Linked DNA regions of Arabidopsis thaliana. The protein of the gene in region 1 interacts with the protein of each later gene in a biochemical or structural test. Each region holds a gene or a part of one and is shown in the gene's direction. Other genes may lie near its edges.

Region 1 (15,732 bases):
ATCGTACATGGTATACTCGTTTTTGATACACATGATGTAATGAATATTATATGTGTTAATGTAATTGGATTTGTAAAATTTTGAATTTGACACAAAAGGAATATCAAAAAACCAATCAGTGCTACATTTGGTCCTTATTAGGATAATTTGTGGATCTACAATTTTTTTTCCCCTTTAAATATAATTTAACATTAAAAAAACACTACTTACTAATATAATGATTTGTATTAGTATTTTCGTTGATTCGTTGTATTACCATCTGAATTTAGATTCACAAAATGCATATTGTTGACAAAAAATGAATGTTGAGGTTTGTGCACTTCGGATTAGTACTTGATTCCATATGTGTATGATCAAAGCCGTCGACGAGACTAAGCTAATAAAACTTCTGTTTGCGGCTATTTTTTGATTATATACAAGATTAGCCATATTTTTAGCAAAATTATTAATGTAGATTAGTGGCAAAAGGCATGGTGGCATAGTTTGGGCATGGTGGCATAGTTTGAGAGTTTGAGTTTTTTACCTCTATTTTCATTAGTTTTATCAATTTAAATCATGATAGTAATATCTAAAATTATTTATTTATCCAAACAAAATAGTGGGCATGTTCTATAATAAGGCGATTTTTGAGGGATCACTAAGATAATTAATGGACATCTTTTATTAGTGCTTTGGTTTGAAAGCAAACTCGCTAAGCTAGCAAGAGGGTTTAGCTAAAACCCACTCTCTGTTAAAAATCACAGCACTGCCATTAAAATTCTCAGATAGAAGAAGATGGAGTGTGTAGTTCCATTCCGGCGATGCTTCTGTCTCAATCCGCCGGAGACACGCCACCGTATCGTTAACCACAACCACCGAAATCTCCATATTTCTCTCTCCTCCTCCTCTTTCGCATCAGGTCGTCATTTCATTTCCTCTTCTCTTCTTAGTCAATCAACCCAGCTTTATATCCTGACTCGCTCTTACGTCAATTCCAGGGATTTTGCCTCTTTCTAATAAGAAGTATCGATTTGTTGGTCCTCTAGCACAGAGGAGTTCCTTGCATCGCCGTACGGACTCTCTCAAGCACCTTCCTTTTTCCGTGGTTAGTTCTCAGAAATTTCGTTTTTTTTTTTTCCTTTTCATTTCAGAGATACTTGAAATTTTCATATAAGTATGTGAATGAGGAGTTGTTGTGGTTGCTTTTATTGATTTAGTCTTCATTTGTATGTGACTCATGATGTGGAAGGTTTTGGTCCTTTTGGATAAGGTTGCAGAAACAAATTTATCTGTGAATTCTAAGCTTGAGTGTTCACATATTGTCTTGGTGTTGCTTCAGAATGCGTCTGTGATTGGTAACTCGGAGGAAGAAGTGGAAGAAGAGGATGATGATGGGGACTGGGAAGCAGAGTTTCTCGGGGAGATTGATCCGTTGGATATTCAACCTCCGAAGAAGAGGAAAAAGCAGAAGAATTCGAAAGCGCTTGAGGACACTGAAGGGATGGATTGGTGTGTAAGGGCAAGGAAAATTGCACTTAAATCGATTGAGGCAAGAGGGTTATCTTCTAGAATGGCGGAGGTGATGCCATTGAAGAAGAAGAAAAAGAAAAAGAGCAAGAAAGTCATTGTAAAGAAAGACAAGGTCAAAAGTAAAAGTATTCCAGAAGATGATTTTGATACCGAGGACGAAGATTTGGATTTTGAAGATGGATTTGTGGAGGATAAGATGGGGGATCTACGGAAGAGAGTTAGCTCATTAGCTGGTGGAATGTTTGAGGAAAAGAAGGAGAAGATGAAGGAGCAATTAGCTCAGAGGCTATCCCAGTTTTCAGGACCTTCTGATCGTATGAAGGAAATCAACCTGAACAAAGCTATAATAGAAGCACAGACTGCTGAAGAGGTATTGGAAGTAACTGCTGAGACAATCATGGCTGTTGCCAAAGGTTTAAGTCCATCACCTTTGTCTCCTTTAAATATTGCTACTGCACTTCACCGAATTGCCAAGAATATGGAGAAAGTTTCAATGATGAGAACTCGTAGGCTTGCATTTGCTCGGCAAAGAGAGATGTCAATGCTTGTTGCTCTTGCAATGACATGTCTACCAGAATGTTCAGCTCAAGGCATCTCAAATATTTCTTGGGCATTATCCAAAATTGGAGGTGAATTGCTATATTTGACAGAGATGGATAGGGTTGCAGAAGTTGCCACATCAAAGGTGGGTGAGTTCAATTCTCAGAATGTTGCTAATATTGCTGGGGCGTTTGCTTCCATGCGGCATTCTGCTCCAGAACTCTTTGCTGAGTTGTCAAAGAGGGCATCTACTATTATCAATACCTTTAAGGGTCAAGAGATTGCTCAACTATTGTGGTCATTTGCCTCACTTTATGAGCCAGCTGATCCTTTGCTTGAATCTTTGGATAGTGCATTCAAAAGCAGTGACCAGTTCAAGTGTTACTTGACGAAAGAAATAACAAACTCTGATGAAGTAGTGGATGCTGAAGTAAGCGATGATGTTTCAAGATCTCCAGCACTTAGCTTTAACAGGGACCAGCTTGGAAACATAGCATGGTCTTATGCTGTTCTTGGGCAAGTGGAGCGACCTTTCTTTGCCAATATATGGAATACTTTAACCACCTTGGAGGAGCAAAGGCTTTCAGAACAGTATAGGGAAGATGTCATGTTTGCTTCTCAGGTGTATCTTGTGAATCAGTGCTTGAAGCTTGAGTGCCCCCACCTTCAGTTGTCACTTTGTCAAGAACTCGAAGAAAAAATAAGCCGCGCAGGAAAAACCAAAAGATTCAATCAGAAAATAACCTCATCGTTTCAGAAAGAAGTTGGACGCCTTCTTATAAGTACAGGGCTTGATTGGGCTAAAGAACATGATGTGGATGGCTACACCGTGGATGTTGCTCTGGTCGAGAAGAAAGTTGCTTTAGAAATCGACGGGCCAACTCATTTTTCAAGAAACTCTGGTAAGTGACATCACTCTGTTTCTTAATATATATTGGTGTCTGGTGGAGCCAACCCAAACTTAATGATCATTTCGACTCTTGTGTTCTACAGGACTACCATTAGGGCATACAATGCTGAAGCGGCGATATGTTGCTGCTGCTGGATGGAAAGTGGTATCTCTGTCTCTTCAAGAGGTGGGTCTATAACGTTGAAAAATGGAAACTGATATAAAATTGAGTTGCTAGGATAAGAAATTGTCTCCATTTTTAGAATACTTGTTCTGTTCAATAGTAAAAAGATCTCACATGCTCTTGCATAATTGATATGTTTTCCCATCTCAATCAGGAGTACATACTGAACATGTGTTGACTTTGTTTTTATTATTTTTAGTGGGAAGAACATGAAGGCAGTCATGAACAGCTAGAATATTTGAGGGAGATTCTCACCGGCTGCATATAGAGAAGACAAGTAACCAAACATGTAATGTGTTGTCATTTTAAGGTTGTTAATCAAGTGTTCTTTTCCGTTATGTATATAGCTAAGATTCTTATAGTAGATTGATGATTTATGTTTAGAGCAATAATCATAATTGAAATCCATTTAAATTTTACAGTCGCCATTACAAATTTCTGCCAAGATTGTGTTCATAGTTATTTCGTATGCAACAGGAATCTAGGAAATATAGATAGAAGCAAACAATACATATTGAAACACTAGTGCTTGATCTGGGACAACATGGTCCTGACATCTTTACTGTTCGGCCTCTGTTTTGGATCATCCAAAGTACAGTAACAGGCGATCTTCAGAACCAGAAGCATCTGTTCATCGAATCCTTGATCCATCAACTTCGGATCAATCGCAAGGCTAGGATTTTCCGATGTTATTATGTTCCTCATCCACTTTATCAGACTCATCTCGTCAGTATGCTGAAAAAACTCATCTGAAGGAAGCTTCCCAATCACCAGAATCCCAAGAATCACTCCAAAACTATAGATATCACATTTATCTGTGAACTTGTGGGTTTGATAAAACTCTGGTGCTATGTATCCCACAGTACCTGCAACATGCGAGGTTGTAATATGTGTGACTGCATCTGGCATTGCCTTTGCCAGTCCGAAATCTGAAATTCTGGCTTCCATGTCATCATCAAGAAGAACATTGGCTGGCTTTAAGTCTCTGTGAATGATTCGTGGGTTATGATCCATGTGAAGGTACTCAAGCCCTGCAGCTATACCTAAAGCAATCTTGTGCCTCGCTGGCCACATTAGTTCTTGATTTCCAGCTTGTACGTCAGTCAATATATCTTGCAAACTCCCCTTTTCCATGTACTCGTAAACGAGGTAGTGGCACTCGGGTCTTGACACGTGTGCTAACAATGGGAGAAGATTCCGGTGCCGGATATGGCCGACTGTGTTGATCTCGGATCTAATTTGCCTCATTTTCTTGTTCAGAAACTTGGAATCTTCATCTGTTAGTTCATCGGCGTCTTTAGGCGGTTGGATCACTTTCTTCACAGCTATGATCTTCCCATTGCTTCCTGGTAGTTCAGCTTTGAAAACTTCTCCACAACCTCCTCTTCCTATGATCTCCAGAGAAGCTAACGCTTCTTCATTCTCCAAGAAAGCTAAATCTTCAGCTTTCTTGATCAATGGGCTGAATATGGAAGGACCTGGTGGTTTTTCTGATCCTCTTATTGCTTGAATAATCAATTTGAACAACACCGAGAAGACAAACCCAGAGATTGTTCCTCCTATGGCTCCAACGACAAACCCTAAGATCCATGCCGCTACTTTCTTCTTCTTGCTCTTCTTCTTCTTCTTCTTCAACTTCCCTGGTTTTGGAGCTCCCTTTGGAGCTTTTGATGTAGTGCTGTTGTTGGGTTTGTTCGTGGGACTTGAAGTTGGAGTTTCAGCAAGAATGTGTCTTGTTTGATGTGGAGATGTCTGAAGCTTGATACTGCTCATAACCGGAGCCGGACCTTCCAAATACCGGTTTCCGGAGAAATCAAAGAACCGGAGATTGTGGAACGACACAATTTGTTCCGGGATTTTGCCTGAGAAGAGATTGTTTGCAACAGAGAGATTCTCCAGATTGCGTAGATTCTTCAAGAAATTCAAGTTCCCGGATAACTTGTTCGAAGAGAGATCAAGGATTCGAAGACGGCTCAAACTAGAAAAGTTTCCCGGAATCTGACCGGAAAATCTATTTTTCCGAAGATCAAGAACTTCAAGTTGCTTACAGCTTAAGATATCCACCGGAACAGCGTTGACCAACTGGTTATTAGACAAAGTAAGTTCCTTGAGCTCCGACAACATTCCGATGACCGGAGAGATAGTCCCCGTCAAGCTCCTGGATCGGTAGACGAGCCTCGTGACACGGAGAACGTATTCTCCGGTGGTGGCAGAGTGCCGTCTCTCGCAGAAAACTCCTCGGCGACCGCAAGGGTTGACATCACTGGCCGAAGAACGTTGACTGTTGACTCCGAGCTCTGTTTCGATGACCTGAAGAGCTTTGAGATCTGAGGAATCGATATCGAGCCACTCAACAGAGGAGACGAATGAAGAGAGAAGAAGAAAGGAGAGAACGGCGAGGATGAGAGGCCGGAGAAAGAGATTGGCGCTTCCCGTGGGAACAGCCATTTTAATTAGAGAAAGTTTCTTCTTGTGGATGTTGTCGGAGTCTACACTCTGTCTATTTATGGTCAGCAACTGGTACTAATCTATTGAGAAATCTTTACGTGTTTCGTGGTTTTTTTTTTCTTCTAAAACTTTATTTTTGAAGTGACAAAATATATTTGACCCAAAAAAAATAAAGTTACAAAATATATTCACAAGTTAATTTCTTAATATTGTTATACACTTATACATATAATTGGTAAACTTAAATTAACAGTTTGAAAAATTTATGGTTTGTTCAAGGGATCCATCCAAGCCCCGGTTTCATATCGAAAAAATGGGGTTTTCTATTGCTAGTATTTTATTTGATTAGTTTGATATTAATGATAGATTACTGAATTCTTACATAAGATCTCCTAACAAAATTGTATTTTATATTATGATATTTAGTTATCAATGGTTTTGGAGAAACATTGATTCAGCGTATACTTTTTGAATTATTTGTATATTCTTAATAAGAGTTCTGTTTTTAATTAAAGTCTAAAGAAGAAAAAACCATTATAAAAACTGATAATCCTGACCTGTGAAATGGGCTAAATTGTACATTTTTTTTTTGATTTAAATTCTTCCAGGAAGTTTTATGGGAAAATAATAAAGTAGAAAATGTGAATATAGAAAGTTGCAAAACTGTATTATTGATATAGCGAATTTTGTTATTGACTTGACTATGTAAGCGTTGATAAGTCAAAGTCTACGCTGTGGGTTCCATAGTGAGCCACCGTTTCCTACACGTTAGAAAAAAATAAATGTTATGTTACACACACCTTCTATTTTCCAGTCACTTTCTTTTAGCGTTTTCCGTCAATACGTTCGTTGTCTGTATCAAGATTCCAAACTGGTGAGTGTGAAATAACTCGAAACTGGCTTTTAACTTAAAATGAGTTAACCAGATAGCTAACGAGGATGTTATTGCCACTAAACCAATACATTACCGATATGGTTCAAGTTCCAACTTCCCGGTTCTACAAAACCGGTTTGCCTTTCGCCTTCGCACTCTTGACTTTTTTAGATTTTTTACTCCGGGACTTGAGTATCTTCTAGCGGCAGCAGAATCTTGTCGCAGAAGCGATTCGTAAACCTGTTTCAAAAGCAATTGAGAACAGCTGTGAGATTAGAAAAATCGAAAAATGGAGAATCGCGAAGATCTTAACTCAATTCTTCCGTACCTTCCACTTGTAATTCGTTCGTCGTCGCTGTATTGGCCGCCGCGTGTGGTGGAGGCGTTAAAGGCAATGTCTGAAGGACCATCTCACAGCCAAGTTGACTCAGGAGAGGTTCTACGGCAAGCTATTTTCGATATGAGACGATCCTTATCTTTCTCTACTCTCGAGCCATCTGCTTCTAATGGCTACGCATTTCTCTTTGACGAAGTAATTATCTCTTTTTAACTTTATGGTGATTGCTTTTGGATTTGAGTGTATCTTCAAATCGAATTGAGTAGTGGAACTAAGTTTTTGGTACTCGCAGTTGATTGATGAGAAAGAATCAAAGAGATGGTTCGATGAGATTATCCCAGCATTGGCGAGCTTACTTCTACAGTTTCCATCTCTGTTAGAAGTGCATTTCCAAAATGCTGATAATATTGTTAGTGGAATCAAAACCGGTCTTCGTTTGTTAAATTCCCAACAAGCTGGCATTGTTTTCCTCAGCCAGGTATTGATACAAAGTGCTATCTCCTACATTTGAGCTAAAGGTGTTTTTTTGGTTCTATTCCTGACTCTTGAGTAGTGATTTATGGGGAGGAAATTACGTCGAATATACATGTGTTCTTACTGGATGATTACCTTGTGTGTTGAAGATATAGTCTCTATGGATTCTTGCTTTTCTTACTGGATAATGACCTTGTGTTGAATATACATGTGTTCATACTGGATAATGACCTTGTGTTGTTGAAGATATAGTCTCTATGGATTCTTGCTTTTCTTACCTGTCCGTTCGAACTTCAATATTGCAGGAGTTGATTGGAGCTCTTCTTGCATGCTCTTTCTTTTGTTTGTTTCCGGATGATAATAGAGGTGCAAAACACCTTCCAGTCATCAACTTTGATCATTTGTTTGCGTATGTTACCTCTCTGCTTTCTCTTCTAAACCTTTCATAGTGATTAAGCCTACATTAGTCTGGTCTGGAAGAAATGCCTAATGTTAAAATGTCAGTCATTTGGCTTAAGTCATGAATGATCAAGCACGTATGTGAAAGAAAGGGAACCTTTAATATGTAATTTATTGACATTCACACTCGAGAGTGAGAAAGCAAATCCGCTAGAGAGCGCATATGGGCCTCAGTCTCCATTGGGAGTTCACTAGTTAGACTTGGATTAGCTTGTTGTGAGAAAAACCACATATTTCTATGATTCATTGGCTATCATGTGCATGTGAAGATTTTAATTCTGAAAATTCTTGTCTACCGTGCATTGAGTAAGTTTCATTTGGATTCTTGGACTTCGTATGCCCACAGTCTGATATCCGAGTTTTACTTGCTTTTCAGAAGCCTTTATATAAGTTATAGTCAAAGTCAAGAAAGCAAGATAAGATGTATTATGCATTACTTTGAAAGGTTTTGCTCCTGCGTGCCTATTGGTATTGTTTCATTTGAACGCAAGATTACCGCTGCTCCTGATGCTGATTTCTGGAGCAAGTCTGACGTTTCTCTTTGTGCATTTAAGGTGACAAATATTGGCTTGTGGATTTCTGTACCTTGTAATATTAAATCTGCAAATGCTTGTACATTACTTTTTGCTGACAGCTTTATTGTTATAGGTTCACTCTTTTGGGTTAATTGAAGATCAACCTGACAATGCTCTCGAAGTGGACTTTGCAAACAAGTATCTCGGAGGTGGTTCCCTAAGTAGAGGGTGCGTGCAGGTTTGAGATCATATTACATTTTAGATTTCACAAGCATACATGATTCTTGAGTTCATTTTTTTTGTCAAAAGATCTATTGTAAATCAATGGTTTAGGATTTTTCATTGACTTCCAATTGGATTCTTGTCCAGGAAGAGATACGCTTCATGATTAACCCTGAATTAATCGCTGGCATGCTTTTCTTGCCTCGGATGGATGACAATGAAGCTATAGAAATAGTTGGTGCGGAAAGATTTTCATGTTACACAGGGTGAGATTTGGTAGTTTTGTAGCATTGGTCTGTGTTTATTTAATATATTGGCTGATAAGTCTCTGTATTTTGATACTTTTACATACCAGTAGGCTCGTTTCAGATCAGTTTGTACAAATCCTGATTGAGGCATGTTGACAAATAGTAAAAGAAATGTACGTCTAGATTATTGCTTATATTGTAGGTGTGCTTCATAAATAAGGGTGATAACTATGTATTGCTGACTTAGAAATGGCCGATAGTAGTTGGCATCTAAATTATCAAGTTTTGAAGAAAGGTTAGTTATTTGTAGTTATTTACCTTTTTTTTCTATGATTTTTGTTTCTACCTAGGTATGCATCTTCGTTTCGGTTTGCTGGTGAGTACATTGACAAAAAGGCAATGGATCCTTTCAAAAGGCGAAGAACCAGAATTGTTGCAATTGATGCATTATGTACACCGAAGATGAGACACTTTAAAGATATATGTCTTTTAAGGTATGTGAAACCTTCTTTTGGGGATTCATAGGTTTTTCAGACAATCCACAGTTTGTGTCTATACAACATTTTGGAGTCTTGCTACTAAGTTCTTTCTATACTCTTCTATTCTCTTTCCACGTGAAATTTAATGTCTCCTCCTCTTTCTGCTTTTTTCAGGGAAATTAATAAGGCACTATGTGGCTTTTTAAATTGTAGCAAGGCTTGGGAGCACCAGAATATATTCATGGATGAAGGAGATAATGAAATTCAGCTTGTCCGAAACGGCAGAGATTCTGGTCTTCTGCGTACAGAAACTACTGCGGTTGGAATCATCCTACAAACCTTTAGTACCTTTTTTCATTTGTAGCCAATTTGAATTAGCTTTTGAAAAATAATGTTTCAACTTTTTTTGTTGTTCTCTACTGTTTCTGATGCAGTCACACCGAACTCCACTAAATGATGTTGAGATGAATAGAGAAAAGCCTGCTAACAATCTTATCAGAGATTTTTATGTGGAAGGAGTTGATAACGAGGATCATGAAGATGATGGTGTCGCGACAGGGAATTGGGGATGTGGTGTTTTTGGAGGAGACCCAGAGCTAAAGGCTACGATACAATGGCTTGCTGCTTCCCAGGTGCTTTTATACATCATCAGCTAAAAGTAATGAAATTATTATTTTCCTGGAGTATACAAGTTGAGTACCAGTAGGCCATAAGAATAAAAACATATAGATCTTTCTATGAAACCACAGACTTAGTCTGTTTTGACTGTAAGAAACACTCCATTGTCACTTTTGACTTAATTTTTCTAGAATGAACCAAAGCTTCGACTTGGATGATGAGATATATAGCGATTTTCATTTGATGCTTCTTTCTTAACTCGGTCATGGCTATATTTCAGACTCGAAGACCATTTATATCATATTACACCTTTGGAGTAGAGGCACTCCGAAACCTAGATCAGGTAACCTCCGATACTCTTTTAAACTTCACAATTCTAGAACCTCTCTTACAGTGTCTTCTTTTTCTCCACTGACATTTTACTTAGAATTGGGTTTGTAGTAAGCGGATAGAGCATCCAGGGTATAGTACTTTTAAGGTCGTCTGTGAACATATCTTGATTTTGAAACTGATACATACTCTTACAAGGATAGGTGACGAAGTGGATTCTTTCCCATAAATGGACTGTTGGAGATCTGTGGAACATGATGTTAGAATATTCTGCTCAAAGGCTCTACAAGCAAACCAGTGTTGGCTTCTTTTCTTGGCTACTTCCATCTCTAGCTACCACCAACAAAGCTATCCAGCCGCCTTGACTCTGCAAATTCTCCTTCATTAACTTGTTTGATGCATTCTCATACTGTATCTCTGCATTTTCCCACATGGGTGTGTAAAAGTGATTATTTTCCTCTTACAAGCTTGAATCCGTTGTAAGCTCGCCAGTTCTTGACCTCAAGCGTAATTAGTTTAGTGCGTTTGCTGATTTATGATTTTGGTCAAATGTTTGAATCAGGCTTTTGTTTTAAAGAAAAAAGTTCTTTTTGTTTATCAGTTGAAATTACAGGGTTATGCTGGAATCTTCTGGGAAAGTTAGTCCGGGAAAAGTTTATGGTCCACCAACATTTTGTTGTCAAGAGTAAATTTGACTCGGTCTTTCTGGAAAACGTGTTCCTGATTGACTTTGGTGCCATCTGTTAAAAAGAAAAATCAAATGGGTTTCTTTGTCCTTAAGCTACCAACGGACTAAGTCATATAGAGATACAACATCAAATGTCCATATCCTTAAATCATTTGCAAACTTTCATCTCCTAAGTTTTCTAATCTCCTTTTCAGGCAATAAGGATGGAACTGAGGGCAGATCTTAGGTCAATTCTTCAGTATTTGCCTCTTGTGGCTCAGTCTTCATCACTAGTTTGGCCACCTTCTGTCGAAGAAGAGCTCCAAACAATATCTAGAGGACCGAGTGAGTCAATGGTTAACTCGGGAGAGGCTCTTGCCTTGCATATCACGAATATGCGGAAATCTCTCTCCTTGAATGCATCTGATCTCGCCCCTTATGCATTACAAGGGTATGGTCTTTTCTTTGACAAGGTAACAATTCCTCTGTCCTTCTTTCATCCACTTTCTTAGTGTTTTGTGTTTTTCTTATTCATTTTACTCTTAGGGGGAACATTTGTCATGGAGCATAAAGTACTCACAAAAAAATTTCTTCTTGTGATGCAGAAAATTTCCAGAGAAGAGTCGGCAAACTTTTTTGGTGAGGTGGTTCCTGCATTGTGCAGATTACTTCTCCAGTTACCTTCCATGTTAGAAAAACACTATCAGAAGGCAGACCATGTTCTTGATGGAGTTAAGTCCGGGCTTCGTCTATTAGGCCCTCAAGAAGCTGGAATTGTGTTACTTAGCCAGGTATACTCTTTCAGTCCAAACAAAGACATGCCTTGTGTTGCATTGAATTAAAGATTGATATAGTAACTGTCTAGTACTCTTTGTAAATGAAATTTTGCTTGATTTTTGAAACCAAGCTTCGTTCCTTTATTCTTCAACTTTTTCACCCCTTGATGTATTTTGCTACCTTCTGCAGGAGTTGATTGCAGCTCTTCTTGCGTGTTCCTTCTTTTGCTTGTTCCCTGAAGTTGACAGAAGCTTAAAGAATCTTCAAGGAATCAACTTTAGTGGATTGTTTTCGTATGTGTCTTCATCATATTTCTTAAAAGTTACAACCATATATGCCCCAAAGTCACAAATCTTTCTTGTGTTTTTTTAAGGTTTCCGTATATGCGTCACTGCACGAAGCAAGAAAACAAAATAAAGTGCCTTATCCATTACTTTGGAAGAATATGTCGATGGATGCCCACCGGCTTTGTTTCATTTGAGAGGAAAATTCTTCCACTGGAATACCATCCTCACTTTGTTTCTTATCCCAAGGCTGATTCGTGGGCTAATTCTGTCACCCCACTTTGCTCCATTGAGGTATCATAGAAACACTCCTAGTTAAGCCTTCTTCGCCGTTGAATCCATTTCTTTCAGATGATTCATGAGTATGCTTTAGGTTATTCTCCTTTTGATCCATTTTTTATTGGAGTAGATTCACACCTCGGGAGCTATAGAAGATCAACCTTGTGAAGCTCTTGAAGTAGATTTTGCAGATGAGTATTTTGGAGGCCTTACTCTGAGTTATGATACTCTACAGGTCTGACTTGTACTTCCTTTTCTTCCATCTCTTCTAAAAACTCTACTATCTCATCCACTAAATAAGTTATAAGTTTTTCTTATTTCAAAATATGTTGAACATGTCAAAATATACCTATGTAGGAAGAAATAAGGTTCGTGATCAACCCGGAACTTATCGCTGGCATGATCTTTTTGCCTCGTATGGATGCAAATGAAGCAATTGAGATTGTTGGTGTTGAAAGATTTTCAGGTTATACAGGGTAAGTACCAATGAACTGAAGTAGATGTGTTTATTGGGTCTTCAAAGTTGATATTAAGCTTATTATATAGTCTTCTCTCTAAATCCAACTCATGGTGGCTCCATTCAGGTATGGGCCTTCGTTCCAATATGCTGGTGATTACACAGACAACAAGGACTTAGACATTTTCAGGAGGCGAAAAACAAGAGTCATAGCTATAGATGCCATGCCTGACCCAGGAATGGGACAGTACAAACTTGATGCCCTCATTCGGTAATCAAAACTTGTCTTTCAGCCAGTTTTTCATTCTTTCCTTTTTTTTATTTTGTTTGTGAATTACTCAATTGCTCCTTTTGTTTCTGTAGAGAGGTTAATAAGGCTTTTAGCGGATACATGCATCAATGTAAATATAATATCGATGTTAAGCATGATCCTGAGGCATCATCTTCGGTAAGACCACAATTATGCTCCATACATGAATTTAGCATACATGTTAAGCATTTTGTTTTTCTTGACTAGACCAAGATTAAATTTGTTTTCGCAAAGCAGCATGTTCCTCTTACATCAGATTCTGCGAGCCAAGTTATAGAAAGCTCTCATAGATGGTGTATCGATCATGAAGAGAAAAAGATTGGTGTAGCTACAGGGAACTGGGGCTGCGGTGTGTTTGGAGGTGATCCAGAACTAAAGATCATGCTTCAGTGGCTTGCCATTTCACAGGCATGCTTCTCTGTTTTCATCAACTTATCTTACAAAACATAATTATCATTCTATTTAACTGCGAAAACAATCTCGATCTACTTTCTCTAGTCAGGAAGACCCTTCATGTCATACTATACCTTTGGCCTCCAAGCCTTACAAAATCTCAATCAGGTTATTAGAATCCTAATTTATTAAACAATGAAACCACTCTTTCTCCCATTTCAACACTTTAAAAACATGCTCTATACATATATGTGTGGGTGTTCTTTCAGGTGATCGAAATGGTCGCTTTACAAGAAATGACTGTAGGAGACCTATGGAAAAAACTAGTTGAGTATTCTTCAGAGAGGCTCAGCAGAAGAACATGGCTTGGCTTCTTCTCGTGGCTCATGACCTCACTGTCTACCTAGAGTAAAAATTGAGTCAAAGTTATATAAAATACTATTCTTGTCTGAATTATGGGAAATGTATTATCCATATCTCTGTTTGTTTCTGACATATTAAGTCTAAAGCGTTAGATTGCTAATCCATTGTAGTGAAGTCAAATAATACTCATGATATAAAGTCTTTATGTAATTTGGTTAGTTCCAATCTTACGAGGATTATATATCTTGTGAAACAAAGGTAAGTGGGAAATAAAACTTGCCAAAAACAAACATCATCCGTTCAAACAGAAAGGAACGATATAGGGAATGAAAATCAGCACACTCTAAAACAACAGCACTCAGACTGTCTACACTAAGACCATTAACTAAAAACCAGTACTCAGAAAATTGAGTTTAAAAGACCAAAAAATAAAATAACACCTAGATAAAAAGAACAAAAATCCTAAAAAACCATCTTCGAGAGTCTGAAGAAAACTACTTGCAAGGCATAAAAAAAACCAAAAAACCAAGAGAAACTAATCACATAACATAGCTGTTTTTGCCAGGAAGTGACAACCGGAGCTCGAGGTCCAGCTCTGTGTCCGAGACTAGTGAGCTCCTCCTATTTGCCTCTTGTGAAACCTCGAGACAAGTCGTCTCCTCGGACACTTTAGCCAATAAATTTAGGCACTCCCAATCATTATCTGCATGAACTGGAAGTATTCTGTCACCCTCTTCTTGAGCATCAGCATGAGATATATATAGCTCGTCAGAATCTCTAGTAACAACCGGAGGCGAAGATGGAGTTGGAGCTGGAGCCAGAAGGATAGCCAGAGTTGGAGCTGGAGCTGGATCCAGAGGAACAAGAGCAATATATAGCTTGGCTAGGGAGTGGAAGGACCAGAGCCGAATCCTCTGGCCTTCAATTAGAGTGTTATCGGAGACGACCTTTTTCCATCTTGAAGCCAAGACGTAAATGGAAGTGGACCTCATATTCCATCTCCTGAGATTAAGCTCAAGTAACTTGTCCACGATGTGGCACATACAAGAAAGGTTAACCCACATTTTTGAATGGCTTCCATCATTATAGATTGGACTGGGCGTTTCTTCGGTTCCTTTCGGTTCTTCTGTTTCAGCCCCTTAGAATCCATAAGGGATATATCTAGGCCCTCATGTAATCTCTCCAGAGCTGGTACTAGAACCGGAAATATGCGCACCATCATTCTATGTCCAATCCATTTTGTTGTCTCTTACTGTCTTACATTAAATTATTCATAAAGCTTCTTTAATCCTTTCTTATGATTTCAAATTTCAAATAGCAGACCGAATATATCCTTTGAATAATTGATTAATCAGAGTGGTGAGCTGTAGAAGACATGAGTTTGTCTGAATAATCCTTTCCACGTTTCTTGATCTCCAAGGAATGATATAATAATCTAATCTCTATAGTCAGATATAAGAACATGAAAGTCAACTGTGTTCGTTAGGTATCTATATATCTATGTTTTGTATTTCATTCTTCAGAAAGAAACCTGCAATCTCAACTTGAGAAGCAAGAGAACAGAGCAATGGAGAAAAGAGAAGATCTTGATACAATTTTACCTTACTTGCCGTTAAAGATTCAAGATTCGTCTCTGTCTTGGCCATCAACACACTTGGTGGAGGTTTTAGAAGCTATGACCAATGGACCAAGTCACAGCCGAGTCTATTCGGGACAAACTCTCTCTGATTCCATCTCTCTTATGAGACAAGCTCTCTCTTTGACTTCTCATCTTTCTTCTTCAGCACTTCAAGGCTACGCTCTCTTCTTCGACGAGGTAACAAAAAAAATCAACATTTTATTTCATCCTTTTCCGTTTTTTGTGGACTGATTCAGTGAAAAATGTATTGGTTTGGTGTAGAGAATGTCGAAAGAAGAATCAAGCAGATGGTTTAACGAGTTTTTACCTGCAATGGCTTGTCTTCTTCTGAGATTCCCATCTCTCTTGGAATCACACTATCTAAATTCAGACAATCTCATCAATGGAACCAAAACCGGTCTTCGTGTCTTAGTCCCCAACAAAGCCGGCATTGTGTT
Region 2 (16,309 bases), on another chromosome or scaffold:
TTAGCTTGCAGATGTTAGAGATATGTAGTGAAGATTTTATTGGTAGAGTCTGGTGCTTTTGGGGTAACTGTGAAATGTTTCATCTGTTTTGGGAGGAATTAGATCATGGTTCTTTGAAGATCTACACTGATTCCTATAATACATCATACCATTGTGTCGATGATCGATATTGGTCTATGTGATTTACTAACCTTCATAGGCTTGAGAATTGAGATAGTAACATGAAATGGGAAATGTCACAATAACTCTGAGCTATACTGATTCCCCTCGTTTGAGATAGATGTCTACCGTTTGAATGTAGATTGAATTACAGGTTATAAATCACATTCTTTTGTGTAAGGTAATATTTGATTGCTGACTAGAACATAAAAAGAGGGTTATGGAGATTTTAGGTAATATTCTTGTTCTTCTTCTTCTGGTGGGCTTTTGAGAAGAAAGGTTTTAAATTAAAAGCTTAATTCAACTGAACCGGGTTATGGATCGAATAACCGGTTATAGTTTCGGGCCTTTAATGCTTAAACTTAATCCCCGTAACTCGTAAGGATTCATAGTTCATACATCTACGTTATTATTACAGTTTTGGTCGTGAACCATTCGTCAATGGATCTGAAAGGACAAATAGGAAATCAACGAATGTGCACAAACATTTATTTCCGGTTAAGTCCTTTTAAACCGGTGACGTCGAGCTCTTGAGAGTTGATACTGATGGCAGTAAAGAGAACAATTTCGTTCTTTCTACCATATGCGACCTAGTAATGGTAATGACGTAATGAGACAGTTCTGTGGGAGGCATCACCTTATACATGTCCTTGTCAAACGAATTATGCAGGCATCGAATAGAAGTCGTGTCTAGCAAAAGATCATTAACTAAATAGAAATATCAAATTAACAAAAATAGTCAACTATCGATGACTTTTCACTTTTGGAAGAAAAGAATATAGAAAGTCTACGAAGCTTGTTCATCCAACTCCAATGTATATTTCTGATACGCATAGGAATTTACAGGTAGCAATAGTTTTTGCAGTATGAAAATAACACTACGTACATTCATTATTTGGTAACGATTTTTTTTTCTTTCTTTAAATTAGTACATGGTATAATACAAAACAACTATTTTCTTCTCGTGAAATATCTAGCATTTATTAAGCCTTTAAAAGGTTCTAGAACATAAGTTAACGTTACTCGTAAAATATTTTCAAACTTCTTTTTTCGTTTGTCTTTCTAATTTCAATGCATGGTATTATGAAGCTATAACAAACATACGTTATTAGGGTTAGGTATTAAACTAAAGGCTGACTTAGTTTTGCCAAATTTTTCAGTATGTTTACAAATCGCAGGGATGTAGGATCATCTTATGTCTAGTCGTTATCTAAACATGTGCGAAAACTTATCTTTAAGTATAAGGAATATACCAACTTTTTATAGTTTCTATTCCATTGTTTTTGAACTACTAGAATTAGTATGTCTACATCCAAATGACTTGTTAATATGCAAATAATGATTATATGAAATGATTAGATACGAATTGGCAAACAACTCAAAAGAATAAAGGAACATGTAACAAAAGAGATGACTCAATTATTTATGCATTTTATAGTCAAGTAAAAGAAAATTCAATGCTAATAGATTCGATGCACCAAGTTGCCCTCTGTCAATAAGTCTCCCTCAAGTCTCAAAGCCTTTGAGCATAATTGACTCTTCAAAAGAAGACAGGACACGTCTTATGTTTCTTTGCCCTTTTGAATTCTTTTACTTCGCCTTCAAATATCTCTTTTTTCTTAGGTTTTAATTTGAAAATGGATTTATCCAAATATATTCATATAGATTAGATATTGTTAAATACTAGTTTTGAAATTATTTTATCAATGATGATTGAATTAATTTTCCAAAAACATAAGAAATAGTTTTTGTTCCTTTTCTCCATATACCTTGTGTAAGAATGAAAACAAAAAAGGAATGAATAAGAGGATCAGGATTCAGGACAGAAAAAGAGAAGAAGAGAGAATCAAAAGTGTGGTTTGATCTTTGGGTCTCATTTAGACGTGTGAAATAAATACTTCACTAAGACAAAGATTTAATAGTTTACCCTCACTAAAGAAAGTAACTAAATAACTAAAATATTTTGTAATCATTGATCAATGTGTGATTAGAGATGGACACGAAGAGTTCAACTTAAGATGTCTACTAAACCTATTAACCTAACATACACTTGTAGTATAAAATATAGTAACAGGAACGGTCGAAACTCCAGAGGTACAAAACATGTCTTTAAAAACTGATTTAAGTTAATTAACTACATTATTAAATGATTTCTATGTCAAGTACCTGTTGCTAAATGCACTGCCACTAATTATAATCTATTACTACTAACAATTAGTAGTAACCAAGAGTCAAGAGACATGATTCTGTCGGTTATATCCATGCAAGGAACAAAACCATATAATTAAGAAGCTTTATATGTTGATCCACTACCATGAATTCCTAATGCTTATCTATGCTTATGCTATATGCCAATATTTTTTAAAAGTCCAATTGTTCATCATTACATTCCTTTTAATACGTTATCTCATACGTTAATTAGATTATAATTATAAAAAACACACATACGATATTTGAACATTTTCGTATGCCAATCAAATTGGAACGATACAAAGAAAATTATCATACCTACTCATCACCTATAGTTACATTATGATTCTGAATCAAAATAACCAATAATGGTTTTGTCATATAGGACGTTTGTACAAACGTTAAGCAATAAATTTATCATACAGAATTCTATAATCAGAATTCTGTAATCAGTTAAGAAGTTCTGAAATGGTTTTATAAGAAAAACTCTATCATACATCCAACGATCCTTTTGTTACAATTAGAGGAAACCAAACGCTTCTCTATTTTATTCATTACAGAACCGCACTTAACATATGAAAATAGGGTTCACTGCACCAGATCATTACCCACTAATCTCCTCTTAAAGACCTTGACAAAATTACATGTAATAATAATCAATCACTGCTTGTTGTTCAAGAGAGCTGCTCGTAGCTCAGCCGCGTCAATCTCGTTGGAACCGGTTTCGGGTCTGTAATAACCGGTTTTGGGATCTGGAACCCAAGAAATCTTCTGGGTTGATTCTTCCACTCCCTTCTTCTTCATCACAGCCGAAGCAACAGCTCCACTTCTTCCACCGCTCGAAACGCTCCCTTGCGCCGCCGTGGCCGCATAACCACGTCTGTTATCACACAAAAAACGACACCGTTTAGAAAAAAACAGAGCATAACTACAAGAAAAAAACAGAGCATAAAGTAGAAAACAGAACAATAGAGACTTACCGGAAGATAGCATTGGAGAGTTCACGAGAGACGAAAGCAGATACGATCTTAACGTTAGAGATAGAACGAGCCATTTTCGAAGTAAGTGGTTTCTTGAAAAGAGAGAAAACAGACTTTTTATTCTTGTAGCTTCTTGTCGCCGCCGCAGAAGGAGAGATATATCCGAGGAATGAGATAATTATACTGCGGCAACGAGATTGAAGAAAGTTGGTATCGTCTGTGTTCTCTCTCTCAAGGCTTTCGAAAATGGTTTGAAGAGATGAGAAGAGAGGAAGAGGAGAGGAAGGTTTATATAGGAGAGAGTGAAGGAAGAGAGGAAATAAAGGAAGTGACTCCGAAATTGTCTTCTCACTTCTCATAAACGGCTGCGTCAATTCTGGCCTTTGAGTCTTTTGACCCATAATTAGCTTTGCTTTTTTTATATAATTAAAGTCAAAATTGGACTTTTTTTTTTTGTTTAAATATAGTTAGATTTTAAATGTGTGATTTACAAGGGGAAATTAATGTTTTATGTCAAACAAAAAAAATCAATGATTTATTTGAAAAATGCAAACTTTCAGAGTTATTATCCAATATTTTTAGTTGAATAATATTTTTTCTGTTCTTTATTATTTAATTTTTTAGAAAAAAATTTGTTTCAAAAAGTTAATTTTTAAAAAGTTTTTATGCATTATTTATTAGTTATTATTGATAATTTGTAAACTTTAAGATAAATAATTGAATATTATTAGTTTAAAGTTATAAAAAAATATAAATTACAAAAATTAATATATTTATGATTAGTTTTAATATATTTTTTTAATCTGTGTTTTTTTTTAGAAAATTAATTATAAATTTAATACGATTTAAATAATTCGGTTATATTTTGAAAATTGTAAAATTAAATCTTAGTAAAACCGTTGAAAATTTGTGTTTCAACTTATTTTCCATTACTTTCTAATTATAACGTATTACAAAAAAAAAATTGTATTATACGAACGGTTCAATGATTGATGCTCATCTACTATAAGTAGACGTGTGTAAAGTAGGCAAAGTGAGGTTCGAATTATAAAATGTGTTTAAGCATGTCAAGATGCCATTTGTTAAAAGTTTATTGACTAACTTGCGTGTACTAGCCGTCCATCTACAATACAAAAATATGTTATAGCCTACAATAAATGATAGTATGAAAAATTAAATAGCACTATGATATTTTGAGGCGGTGGAGTTTCTATTGATTGGTTATCGATGACCACTTGCATCGTCAAATGGTTCTTTGATTCGTGGTTTCGGCCCCAGCTTCATACTATCACGAGACTCGACCATCTTGTTTTTTTCTTCTTCTTCTTGGTAAATGGTTTCACAACTTGGTTCCTCTTTCTTTCATTTTATTTTATATACTATCATAGCATTTTGGTTGGATTTCTCGAGATAGTATATTTTTTAGTTACTATCATTACATAAGTATATTTTAAAAAACTAATTATATGAATTATGTAGCTAACTAGATAGATAATCGTATAACCAATTCATGTTAGTATAGTATAGTTTAAGTATGTATTTTGGGATTACAAGTGTGGTTGGCATCAAGACAAGGATGGTGATAGCCTTTCTCTGTAATTTGGTTTAAGAAAAGTTTTTGCATTTTATGTATAAACGTGTTTTTTTTTTATAATTTAAAATTTCAACAAAAAACAATTTTTTTTAATAATGATTGACCACTATAGACAATTTAAATGATAAAAAAAACCCCCAATTTTTCACAATGTTTTGGAGATTAGTCTAGATTTTTTGTCCAAATTTTCCGATTGTAAGAATTAAGAAGCAATGAACATTTGTGTTAAGCTTAATGATTTGTACTCACAATATCTTTTAAATTTAAAATTGTTAACCAAAATATCCTATATATTGTACTTGTAATAGAAATATAAACTATTAAAAACAACACTTTATTCATATAATATAAGTTAAAACATATGTTTTTTTTAGTATGTTCTAATCACACCTATTAAAAAAAGTTGAAGCTAAATGAGCCAAAAAGAAAAATAAAGATAGGGGATGGGGACAGGCTGTAATGTTAGGCGGTTGGTATATGAACTGAGAACATGTCTGTTGGTTCGGTCCATCTACACCACTCAACCATTTGGCTATGTTTTCTTTTTGGCTTTTGCATGTTCTCTCTACTTTTCTTCTTTGGTCAAAATCTCTATCTCGTCTTTTACATGGCTTACCCGAATGTTAGTTGTCATGTAAATTTGGTTATGAAAAGATATTTTATATAAACTTTATCGTATATTAATATCGTTATCATCTAACCATTTTTTAAAACTAAACTAGAACCATCCAGTTTTACAAGAGTTTTTTTTTTTTTTTTTCTAACTAAATAATATTTGAAGTGTACAATATTAACAATATATGGGCCAAATAATAGTGGAAACCAAATCGTTAGTCCCACTTTATGATGGGCCTGTTGATTCTTATGTCTTCTTCGTAAGTTGTGATTATGCAGATTACGGGCTAATAAACATGCATGTTTAGTTTTTACTGTCCAAGTAACGAAATTTTATCTTTTGGGTTGTTGGCCCATTTCATATATTCCAAATGCCAAATCCAGCCCGGCTCGACACAGCACTGCTCGGCTCAACACTCGTATGCGGTTGGTAGCCACTTAAGACCTTGGTTTGATTAACATGTTACGAATAATTTGTGTCCCTTTTTCTTCAAGGAGACTAATCTCTTTTAATAAAAAAGAATTGTGTCATTAGTCAACACAAGTCCTATAATCCGTTTACGGTAATTTGTATGCACGTCCTTGGAAAAGTGAGTAGTGGCGTAGCATTACAGCCAAAAACTATTTGTATATTTTTCTTTTCGTTAAACAACCAGCAAAATTTTCAGAAAAATGTTCTTAAATTATAAATTAGTAGTACATTTTAAAACATAGAGATTTTTTGTTTCTTTTAATAGAAGAGTTAAACCTATGTACAAAATTTCAACTCCTTTTCAAAGTATTTGCCTGTTACTAGATTTTTAACCTTTTTTTTTTTATCTTTCATGATTTTCTATTGCTTGCCATCATCAATGGTAGGAAATAAATACTATTTTAAAAAGGTCAGGGGTGGATTTAAGAATCAATCCAAAAGTTTGGGGTCTTTTGGAGATTAAAAAGTTATATGGGAAATATCCACAAATATGAACGAGAACTTTTGTCAAAAAAATTTAAAATAATTTTTCAAAAAGCCCTAAAGCTTTCAAGGGAAGCCATCGATGAAGAAGAAAACGAAGAAGAAGACTCTTCAAATGCTCGCGCGAACTCACTTCTGACGAAAACCATACTTCCTCAGTCTCATTCCCTTTCCGACGAACTATTCTCCTGAAGAAGAAGACGAAAATGGCGAACAAGCTCAAAGTCGACGAACTCCGTTTAAAACTCGCCGAGCGTGGACTCAGTACTACTGGAGTCAAAGCCGTTCTGGTATTTCTCTGAATTGCATTGAAATACTCTTTCTATTTTGTTGATATTCGAATTTGTTTATTGGGTGTTTCGTGTAGGTGGAGAGGCTTGAAGAGGCTATCGCAGAAGACACTAAGAAGGAAGAATCAAAGAGCAAGAGGAAAAGAAATTCTTCTAATGATACTTATGAATCGAACAAATTGATTGCAATTGGCGAATTTCGTGGGATGATTGTGAAGGAATTGCGTGAGGAAGCTATTAAGAGAGGCTTAGATACAACAGGAACCAAAAAGGATCTTCTTGAGAGGCTTTGCAATGATGCTAATAACGTTTCCAATGCACCAGTCAAATCCAGTAATGGTTTGTTCAATTCTCTGGACTATTGAGAAATTTGGTAAAAATTGAGTCTTTTTAATGTTGTTATTGTCATTGTGTATTAAGGGACAGATGAAGCTGAAGATGACAACAATGGCTTTGAAGAAGAAAAGAAAGAAGAGAAAATCGTAACCGCGACAAAGAAGGGTGCAGCGGTGTTAGATCAGTGGATTCCTGATGAGATAAAGAGTCAGTACCATGTTCTACAAAGGGTGAGGATTTGGAACCTAATCTTGAGTTTTTGCATCTTATCGTGTTCATGAATGTTGTTAGAAACTGTTTCTTTTTTTGTTGAATGTTGTAGGGTGATGATGTTTATGATGCTATCTTAAATCAGACAAATGTCAGGGATAATAATAACAAGTTCTTTGTCCTACAAGTCCTAGGTCAGTCTTCCAAAACCTTCAACAATAATTTCCCTGGTTACTTTCCAAGATTAATGAGACGATACTTGTCTTGTTCGAGTACTGGAAACCTCTTGAAGCAGCTTTTGATGACTCTTTGTCATTCTTCTTGGTTCCAGATACTATCATCATTGATCTATCTTATCTATTGTGCATTGTGCAGAGTCGGATAGTAAAAAGACATACATGGTTTACACCAGATGGGGAAGAGTTGGTGTGAAAGGACAAAGTAAGCTAGATGGGCCTTATGACTCATGGGATCGTGCGATAGAGATATTTACCAATAAGTTCAATGACAAGACAAAGAATTATTGGTCTGACAGAAAGGAGTTTATCCCACATCCCAAGTCCTATACATGGCTCGAAATGGATTACGGAAAAGAGGAAAATGATTCACCGGTGAGTGTTTTGGAATCCTCACTTCTCTTTCTCTTCTTACTATTTGTTGTGTGGTATGATCCAAGGGATCTGCTGGAATGAGGTTTTTGAGTGCATATCTACTTTTCTTTTTCCCGTTTAATTGCAATTATATATTTTTTTTCTCTTCGTTCAAATGTGCACTTTACTCAGAGTTCACGATTGTTTTTTTTCTCAGGTCAATAATGATATTCCGAGTTCATCTTCCGAAGTTAAACCTGAACAATCAAAACTAGATACTCGGGTTGCCAAGTTCATCTCTCTTATATGTAATGTCAGCATGATGGCACAGCATATGATGGAAATAGGTTTGAGTCTAACTTTGATCACTTCATTCAAGTGAGAGCATCCATTGGCAGATTAACAGTGATTTTTATATGTCGATACATTATCTCTTTGTTTTGGTGTCCTATTACCTGCGTTTGTACTTCCTATCTTTTGTCCTATCCATTTGTTTGCCATTTTGCTGGTTTCTTTACTTCTTGCTGATTTTTCATACATCTTCTAAATTTGGAATTGAAGGATATAACGCTAACAAATTGCCACTCGGCAAGATAAGCAAGTCCACAATTTCAAAGGTAAAGATAGTAAACAGTCTGTTTGGTCTCATTTCCGTAAATTATAGTTTGGTGTGATTTCAGATGATATAATCTCCTCTTCCACATGTCTAGGGTTATGAAGTGCTGAAGAGAATATCGGAGGTGATTGATCGGTATGATAGAACGAGGCTTGAGGAACTGAGTGGGTATGTATCTGGTTAATTGCTAGACAATTTTTCGCATTTAGTTGATTATGTAACTGTTTCCCATAAAGAAATTAGATTTGAACTAGTCTAACTTTGTTTATCATTGATGCAGAGAGTTCTACACAGTGATACCTCATGATTTTGGTTTTAAGAAAATGAGTAAGTTCATCTGTGCTAAGGTTTACGATATATATAACTAAACATTCACTAACATCTGAATTCCGAGCTGTAACAGGCCAGTTTGTTATAGACACTCCTCAAAAGTTGAAACAGAAAATTGAAATGGTAATTTTTCCTACTGTTTCCTTACTTGACTAGTTTTGGTCTTCAGAAAAGCAATGGTTTGTCGCTACATGTTTTGTGTAGTTTTTAATATATCGTTTTTTTGTAAGGTTGAAGCATTAGGTGAGATTGAACTCGCAACAAAGTTGTTGTCCGTCGACCCGGGATTGCAGGTAATTCAGTCAGTCTATGTGGTTTGAAGGCATGAAATCACTCCGTCGTATAGTTCTCTAAGAATATGACATTATTTTTTGCAATGGCTGTAGGATGATCCTTTATATTATCACTACCAGCAACTTAATTGTGGTTTGACGCCAGTAGGAAATGATTCAGAGGAGTTCTCTATGGTAAATTTTCGGTTTTGTGAACTTTGAACAAATATCTTTGATACTCGAGCATCTCAAACATGTCTGTGTTTTAAACCTTTTGGTGTTTACTCCTTAAAACCAAAATCAGGTTGCTAATTACATGGAGAACACTCATGCAAAGACGCATTCGGGATATACGGTTGAGATTGCTCAACTATTTAGAGCTTCGAGAGCTGTTGAAGCTGATCGATTCCAACAGGTATGTTATGGTATTTCGAGCTTGTCAGTACCATACACATTATTCTGATTTCTCGTTTTTGGCATTGTGAGACTTTAATTTTTCTTGGCAGTTTTCAAGTTCGAAGAACAGGATGCTACTCTGGCACGGTTCACGTCTCACTAACTGGGCTGGTATTTTATCTCAAGGTAACATGTTACTCTTTTTCCTCTTAGTAACTACTTTTTTTCTTCTCCTCTTGGGGGATTTTCAATTGCATAGTAAAATGAACAACTATGAGACACCAAGCAGGTCTGCGAATAGCTCCTCCTGAAGCGCCTGTAACTGGTTACATGTTTGGAAAAGGGGTTTACTTTGCGGATATGTTCTCCAAGAGTGCGAACTATTGCTATGCCAACACTGGCGCTAATGATGGCGTTCTGCTCCTCTGCGAGGTATACTCGCTTCTTGTCTCTATTCATATAGAAAACAACAAAACTACTGTATAACTACAGGACCTCTATAGCCATTCAACATAACTATCCTTATGTTTCCTAACGATAAAAACTTCTCTAGGTTGCTTTGGGAGACATGAATGAACTTCTGTATTCAGATTATAACGCGGATAATCTACCCCCGGGAAAGCTAAGGTATGAAGATAATCTCATTCATATTTCACACAAGTTCCTTATCTCAAACCGCAATGAATTATGATTTACTATTTTTGTACTGTACCTTGATTTGTTATTTGATGGTTGCAGCACAAAAGGTGTGGGGAAAACAGCACCAAACCCATCAGAGGCTCAAACACTAGAAGACGGTGTTGTTGTTCCACTTGGCAAACCAGTGGAACGTTCATGCTCCAAGGTTTTTGTTTTTGTCTTGCTTCAACACACATTCACAAAATCTAACTCTCTCAAATTTCATAAACTGACTTTATATAACTTTTGCAGGGGATGTTGTTGTACAACGAATATATAGTCTACAATGTGGAACAAATCAAGATGCGTTATGTGATCCAAGTCAAATTCAACTACAAGCACTAAAACTTATGTATATTAGCTTTTGAACATCAACTAATTATCCAAAAATCAGCGTTTTATTGTATTTCTTTCAAACTCCTTCATCTCTGATTTTGCACGGTTCACTCGTATATTGGTACGCTAAACCGCAAACCATACCCAATTTTATCCGGTTTAGTTGGTATGATTGAGAAATTCTTATTCTCTGAAACTCGATTTTATTAGTATTTAAGCGAAAGAGAAGAAACCCTACGAAAATCTCAATCGGAAACTAAACGGCAAAAAAAAAAAAAAGCAGAGGCAGCCATGGGAGAAAAGAGAAAATCTACTTCGAAAACCCTAGCTAAGAACAAGAAGAGGAAAGGTCCTCATTTGCCTAATTCAATCCTGAAGACTATTGCCAATGAGAAACGTCCTTTGAACTCTGACGAAGATGACGATGAGATCGATTCCGACGATGAAAACGTCGATTTGTATGAGTATGAAGAAGGTGTGCCTGAGGAAGAGTCTAAGAAAAACAATCGCTATGACCGCGTCGATAACTACGACTACGAGCTTCCCGAGGATTTCGAGGTTTTATTCTTTCTCTTCACTAATTCTCCGCCACTGTGTGAAATTGCAAGTTTTGAACTTTAGTGATAAGAAGATAATCTACAGATTTTGGTTTTAGCTCAATTAGGGTTTTTGCTATCGGGATTCTTACGCTATAACAAATTGGTGAATCCAAAATTGAGAGTTTTTAATTGATTGATTGGTAATGAGATAGTAACTTTAGATCTGGTCTTGGCAATTGTTTTGTCCTTGTTATATGTATGTCTTATTGATAAAAGTGTCTATGATCTCAATATAGGATGAAAATGTGGAGTCAGATGATGATGAAGATGGTGGAAACAGCGAGAATGAGGAAGGTGAAGGTGATGACGATAGACACACACGGATGTTGCAAGGTCTCACTGGAATGCCAAGTGCTGCCTTTCAAGGTAAAGACTGAGTCTTTCTTCTCAGATTTTTGCTATTAGCTTTTCTGTTCATTGCATTTCTTGAAGTTTTTTTTTTTTTTGTTTACAGAAGAGAGTAAGAAGAGACCTGTACTCTATACTGAAGCGTATCCAGAGTCTGAATTCAATCCTACCCGTGATGTTCTGGAGGGTAAAGGCCTCATCTCAGTTGAGGACCTTTTGGCGCCTCTTGAAGGAAAACCTGGGTTTAACGATCTAAATAAGAGGATCAACCGGATGCAGAAAGATACTCAGTCTGTTGTTCATGCACCTTTGCCTAAGCCAGAACGAGAAAGACTAGAGCGGAAAGCTGTGAAAGGACTAGTTGAGAAGGACTTTAATAAGTGGGTGCATCTGGTCAAGAGGAATAGGGAGGCACCAACTGTTTACTTTAATCAACCTGTCAATGTTGGGTATTCTACAGTCGGTGCAATAGCATCAGAGTTTCAACCCAGGACTGAATTTGAGAAGAAAATGGCTTCTGTACTCAAAGATAACGAGCTTGGGGAGGCTCACAAAGAAGATGGCGCTAAGCTTCTTGAATTGAATGAGGCAAGTTCTGTGCTCTAGTTTTTTCCTGCACACAGCTTATTTGACTTATAATAAAACCTGGCTTTGGTTGCCTTGAAGATAGTTTATATATCTGATGTAACCTTTTCGATTAACTTGATCTGGCAGGTGTCGATGGAAGACCACATCAAGTACCGTGACCACATTGCCAAGATGCGGAGCCTGCTATTCCGCCATGAACTGAAAAGTAAACGTATCAAGAAGATTAAGTCTAAAACTTATCATCGCCTTAAAGGGAAGGACCTGAAGAAATCAGCGATGGGAGCATTAATGGACCCAGAAATGGCTAAAGAAGAGGCTATTAAGCAGGAGACTAGACGAGTAGAGGTGAGTCTAAAATTTCTTCTACCTGCACAAAATTTCTCATCAAGACACTGTCGAGTAATACAATAGTCTTGTTTGCGGTCATGAAGGAACGGATGACTTTGAAGCACAAAAACACAGGAAAATGGGCCAAACGCATGTTAAGCCGTGGACTGACTGAGAGATATGATGGAACTAGGGCAGCTATATCTGAACAACTTCAGATTAATGCTACTTTGTCCAGAAAGATGAACTCCACGAACGATGGAAGTAGTAGTGATGAGAGCGACGATGAGGAAGAGTTGAGTTGTGGTTCAGATCAGGATACTCCTTCTAAATTGATAGCGAAAGCCAGGGAGAAGACACTGAAAACTATGGAAGATGATGATGTACCCAATTCTGGTCTTCTTTCATTACCTTTCATGGTAATTCTTGCTTTACTTCCTCAAAGCATTTTTGATTATCTTACTTTGGATTTCCTTCATTCGTTAGACTCTGTCTGATGTTTTTTATTTGATTAGGCTCGTGCTATGAAAAAGAAAAATGAGGAAGCTAATGAAGAAGCTAAACGTGCATTTGGGGAGTATAAAGAATTGGAGAATTTTGGTGGAGAAGATAATCCTAAAAAATCCGCTGATGTTAGTGGTAGAAGAGTATTTGGTGCCACCTCTAAAGTCGAAGCTCCAAAAGAGTCTAAAAAGGACTCGGACAATTTTTATGACAACAGTGATAGTGACAATGATATGGAAGGTATAGAAAATAATGACCTTGGGGCTGTTGGAGATACTGCTTCACCTGCTAGAAACACTGGAGCCATAACAGAGACCGAGGTATCATTGGTTTTCCTGTTCGATTAATCACAATGGTTCTCTCTTTGCTCCTTATCAACTCCCTGACAACAATTTTTTTGTTTGTAGAAGTGTTGTGGTGATGTTGAAAATCCAGCTTCTAAGACAACATTTGATGTTGCCTTATTTGCGTCAGGCTCTTGGAAGAAGGTTTGCTTTGACAATTTTCAAATCAGACTTGGTTTCCGTTTATGTTTATCTTTGATTAACTTGTTTTTCTATGTTGTGTAGATGAAAGGCTCCCAAAATGCAGAATCCAAAAAAGCTCCAAAGACTCGTGTACCAATCTCAAAGGGCCAAGATAAAAAGGTTTCATTTCTTAAAACTTCACCTACCTTTTGTTTTATCCTTTTCTTCTCCTCACTTCTTTGCATTGAAGGAATCGAGAGATGAAGAAAGTGAAGATTCAGAGAGTGAAGCTGAGCAAATGGTTGATGGGATTTTGACATCTGCTTCGAAGGAGACCTATGAAATCCCTTCTCAAGCAGAGCTTATACAACGTGCTTTTGCTGGTGATGACGTTGTAGAAGAATTTGAGAAGGATAAGCAAGAAGTTCTAAATCAGGAAGTTCCTGAACCGGAAAAGCCGGTTCTAGTTCCTGGTTGGGGACAATGGACCAATGTCCAAAAGAAGAGAGGTTTACCTTCATGGATGGTTAGAGAACATGAAGATGCAAATAAAAAGAGAAAGCTAGATCTCAAAACAAGGAAAGACTATCGTCTCAGAAATGTTATCATATCAGAGAAAGTCGATAAAAAGGTTAGTGTCTCGCTTGATATCCCGATCCCTCTATTCGTAATCATCCCTTCATGCTCACATTATCTGTTTTTGACAGGCTGACAAACTTCATACAACGACTCTACCTTTCCCATATACATCTAAGGAAGTTTTCGAACACAGCATGCGCATGCCTATAGGACCCGAGTTTAATCCTGCGACTATTGTTGGAGCTCTCAACCGACCCGAGGTTCCTTTTTATTATTTGTTAAACTCATTGCACCATGTATTAAAATGTTACCTTTCTTTTGACCTCGTATAACCTTTTTGTGTGCAGGTTGTGAAGAAAGCTGGTGTGATAATTAAACCGGTCAAATTTGAGGAAGTGAATCCAAACGAGAAAGCAGATGACGAAAACCCTCGAAGCCATCAAAAACAAAGACCCAAAAAGGGTAGTAAAACCAGTAAAGGTCAAGGCAAAAACAAGTCCAAGCTAAAGACCAAAGCTTAGCTCTCAAGATTTCTGTATTCTCAAAACTTGTTTAGACACAAATTTTGATCCAAAAGAAAACAGTTTTGCTTTGTAATTTGTCTTATTTATAAAAGAAACATTTTGTTTGCTTCATCAGAGCTCTTCAAATCCTTGTTCATCTCCATCTTCTTCTACTCTTTGAAATTCTTGTCTCCATGTCTCCATCTGCAAGAATTTCACAATCCACTGAGTTGATAAGTAATAATGGAGACCTAGCCAGTTGTGACATTCATTACCTGATCATCTGAAAACTTGAGCTGTTGTGCGATAAAGAGAACCGTGTCATGGTTTACTGGTGAATGTAATACCACACCTAAACTTGCAGCAATCTCTTCATAGCTAACTATTTTCACCCGAAAACCATTGCTCATGAACAGTTTCTCCATCCACTTTGACAAATCCGACTGCACTCATCACCACATATAGATAACAATTTACAAACCAAAGAATAGATGCTTTTAAGGTAGAAGTCCAAAGATAGTCAAGAGATCAAAGTGACCTGTAGTGTTATATTTGTAGGCAATTCTCCTATGAGATAGCATTCATTCATGGCCAAGCTACTAATGGCCGATAGAATAGCTTCAAAACCTGATTGTGACTCCAAAGGTAAGCCCTGTGATAAATAAAAAAAATCATGTCAACATCATGTAAATTGCCTGGAAGAAGAGAGGTTTGATGAATAACTCATATACCTGCATTGCCCATATACTAGGCCGATTCCCACTAAACCCTTTTGAGCGTAAACGTTGCTCTATGTTCTCGAATTCCACGGGAATGTGAAAGAATAAGCAACTTTTAGGGATCCTAGCTCCCACGCCTGGATCAGTTAAAGAAACAATATCTAACCCTTGGAACGTTTTAACAGTCCCAAACAAAACTAGGGAGCATTCAAGTCCCGGGAAATTAAGTTTGTAATCAAAATGGACGCTTCAACGCAAAGGAAAGCACAAACCTTGAAGCTTTTCAGATGCTATTTCGAAAACTTTTTCCGGTGATACATCAAAGATCATAGTGGAAGTTGGCCAATTAAGCCTATAAGGTCGAGTATCCATCCCATCTGTGAACAATACAACCTGCAAAGATATGATATCACTTGCACATAAACAATTTAACTTTCACTGTATAATTCTCAAACTCTGACAGTAGAAGTAACTAAAAGTAACCTGCTTTAGCCCATCAATGCGTTTAGCTATTTCTAACAACTTATCATCGATGAACTTTGTTGCAAGACAGTAATGTTGTTGTTGTTCATGGATGTCCAAATCCTTCTTTGTGTAAGGAGGTAAGAAACAAGCGGCATACGGGTCGATGAAAAGAGGCTCTGCGTGCGGAAATTAGAAAGCTTTTAGTCAAATTTCTTCAAGAAACTATTTGATCAAGCTATATTGGTATGTGTTCGACGAAATGCCTAAGAGAAAGTCAAGACACAGTAATCAACGGTTTCCAGGAGAATTTGCTGGGATGATCTTATAGAAATTGAAAAATGAACTCTTTTGAGTAGAAAAAGACAGAAATTGCTTACCTGTTCGATTGGTTTCTCGCAGACGATGAGACGCTGAAACTAAAGCTGATTGAATCGAAGGCTCATTCTCTGCTCGTAAGGAACGAACGGCGAGCGTCGGAGTTCGACAGCGACGGATTGCGGTGGCCGGAAAGTGTACAGGAGGAGGAGCACATAGACTCTGCATCCGTAATGATATCGCTGACTTTTTGAATGAAGACGAAGCTAACACCTCTGACGGAACCAGAGGTTTCAAGTAGATCATAATTTTTTTGTAATTCTCAAACCAACTCCGGTTCAAGTAGTC

Evidence for each region.
Region 2: of the proteins of TEJ (region 1) and PARP2, one has a biochemical effect on the other in vitro, tested with the Arabidopsis thaliana proteins (one study listed by BioGRID).

Annotation. Positions count from the first base shown.
Region 1 is NC_003071.7:13,544,758-13,560,489, reverse strand, and holds TEJ (Poly (ADP-ribose) glycohydrolase (PARG)), read left to right. Parts: upstream 1-6,646; 5' UTR 6,647-6,733; coding exon 6,734-6,976; intron 6,977-7,073; coding exon 7,074-7,259; intron 7,260-7,560; coding exon 7,561-7,664; intron 7,665-8,090; coding exon 8,091-8,268; intron 8,269-8,362; coding exon 8,363-8,467; intron 8,468-8,598; coding exon 8,599-8,717; intron 8,718-9,049; coding exon 9,050-9,193; intron 9,194-9,352; coding exon 9,353-9,497; intron 9,498-9,612; coding exon 9,613-9,810; intron 9,811-10,076; coding exon 10,077-10,139; intron 10,140-10,329; coding exon 10,330-10,491; 3' UTR 10,492-10,554; downstream 10,555-15,732. Other genes in the region: RAP, read left to right, coding at 775-898, 978-1,084, 1,319-2,951, 3,043-3,125, 3,322-3,390; SOBIR1 (Leucine-rich repeat protein kinase family protein), read right to left, coding at 3,645-5,570; PARG2 (poly(ADP-ribose) glycohydrolase 2), read left to right, coding at 11,018-11,266, 11,399-11,584, 11,760-11,863, 11,944-12,148, 12,264-12,368, 12,491-12,609, 12,718-12,861, 12,954-13,038 and 3 more; AT2G31862 (B3 domain protein), read right to left, coding at 14,196-14,720. UniProt on the Arabidopsis thaliana protein: Poly(ADP-ribose) synthesized after DNA damage is only present transiently and is rapidly degraded by poly(ADP-ribose) glycohydrolase. Involved in establishing period length of the circadian oscillator.
Region 2 is NC_003075.7:1,043,405-1,059,713, forward strand, and holds PARP2 (poly(ADP-ribose) polymerase), read left to right. Parts: upstream 1-6,361; 5' UTR 6,362-6,699; coding exon 6,700-6,783; exon of another isoform or gene 6,784-6,860; coding exon 6,861-7,122; intron 7,123-7,203; coding exon 7,204-7,349; intron 7,350-7,441; coding exon 7,442-7,523; intron 7,524-7,704; coding exon 7,705-7,940; intron 7,941-8,136; coding exon 8,137-8,266; intron 8,267-8,480; coding exon 8,481-8,536; intron 8,537-8,629; coding exon 8,630-8,703; intron 8,704-8,815; coding exon 8,816-8,862; intron 8,863-8,938; coding exon 8,939-8,988; intron 8,989-9,095; coding exon 9,096-9,158; intron 9,159-9,251; coding exon 9,252-9,332; intron 9,333-9,441; coding exon 9,442-9,552; intron 9,553-9,643; coding exon 9,644-9,719; intron 9,720-9,822; coding exon 9,823-9,965; intron 9,966-10,086; coding exon 10,087-10,160; intron 10,161-10,271; coding exon 10,272-10,377; intron 10,378-10,463; coding exon 10,464-10,556; 3' UTR 10,557-10,782; downstream 10,783-16,309. Other genes in the region: SAG21 (senescence-associated gene 21), read right to left, coding at 3,010-3,229, 3,330-3,688; AT4G02400 (U3 ribonucleoprotein (Utp) family protein), read left to right, coding at 10,839-11,105, 11,383-11,512, 11,601-12,082, 12,209-12,427, 12,514-12,828, 12,925-13,233, 13,321-13,401, 13,483-13,560 and 3 more; AT4G02405 (S-adenosyl-L-methionine-dependent methyltransferases superfamily protein), read right to left, coding at 14,595-14,666, 14,738-14,905, 15,001-15,114, 15,194-15,318, 15,454-15,574, 15,665-15,822, 16,024-16,267. UniProt on the Arabidopsis thaliana protein: Involved in the base excision repair (BER) pathway, by catalyzing the poly(ADP-ribosyl)ation of a limited number of acceptor proteins involved in chromatin architecture and in DNA metabolism.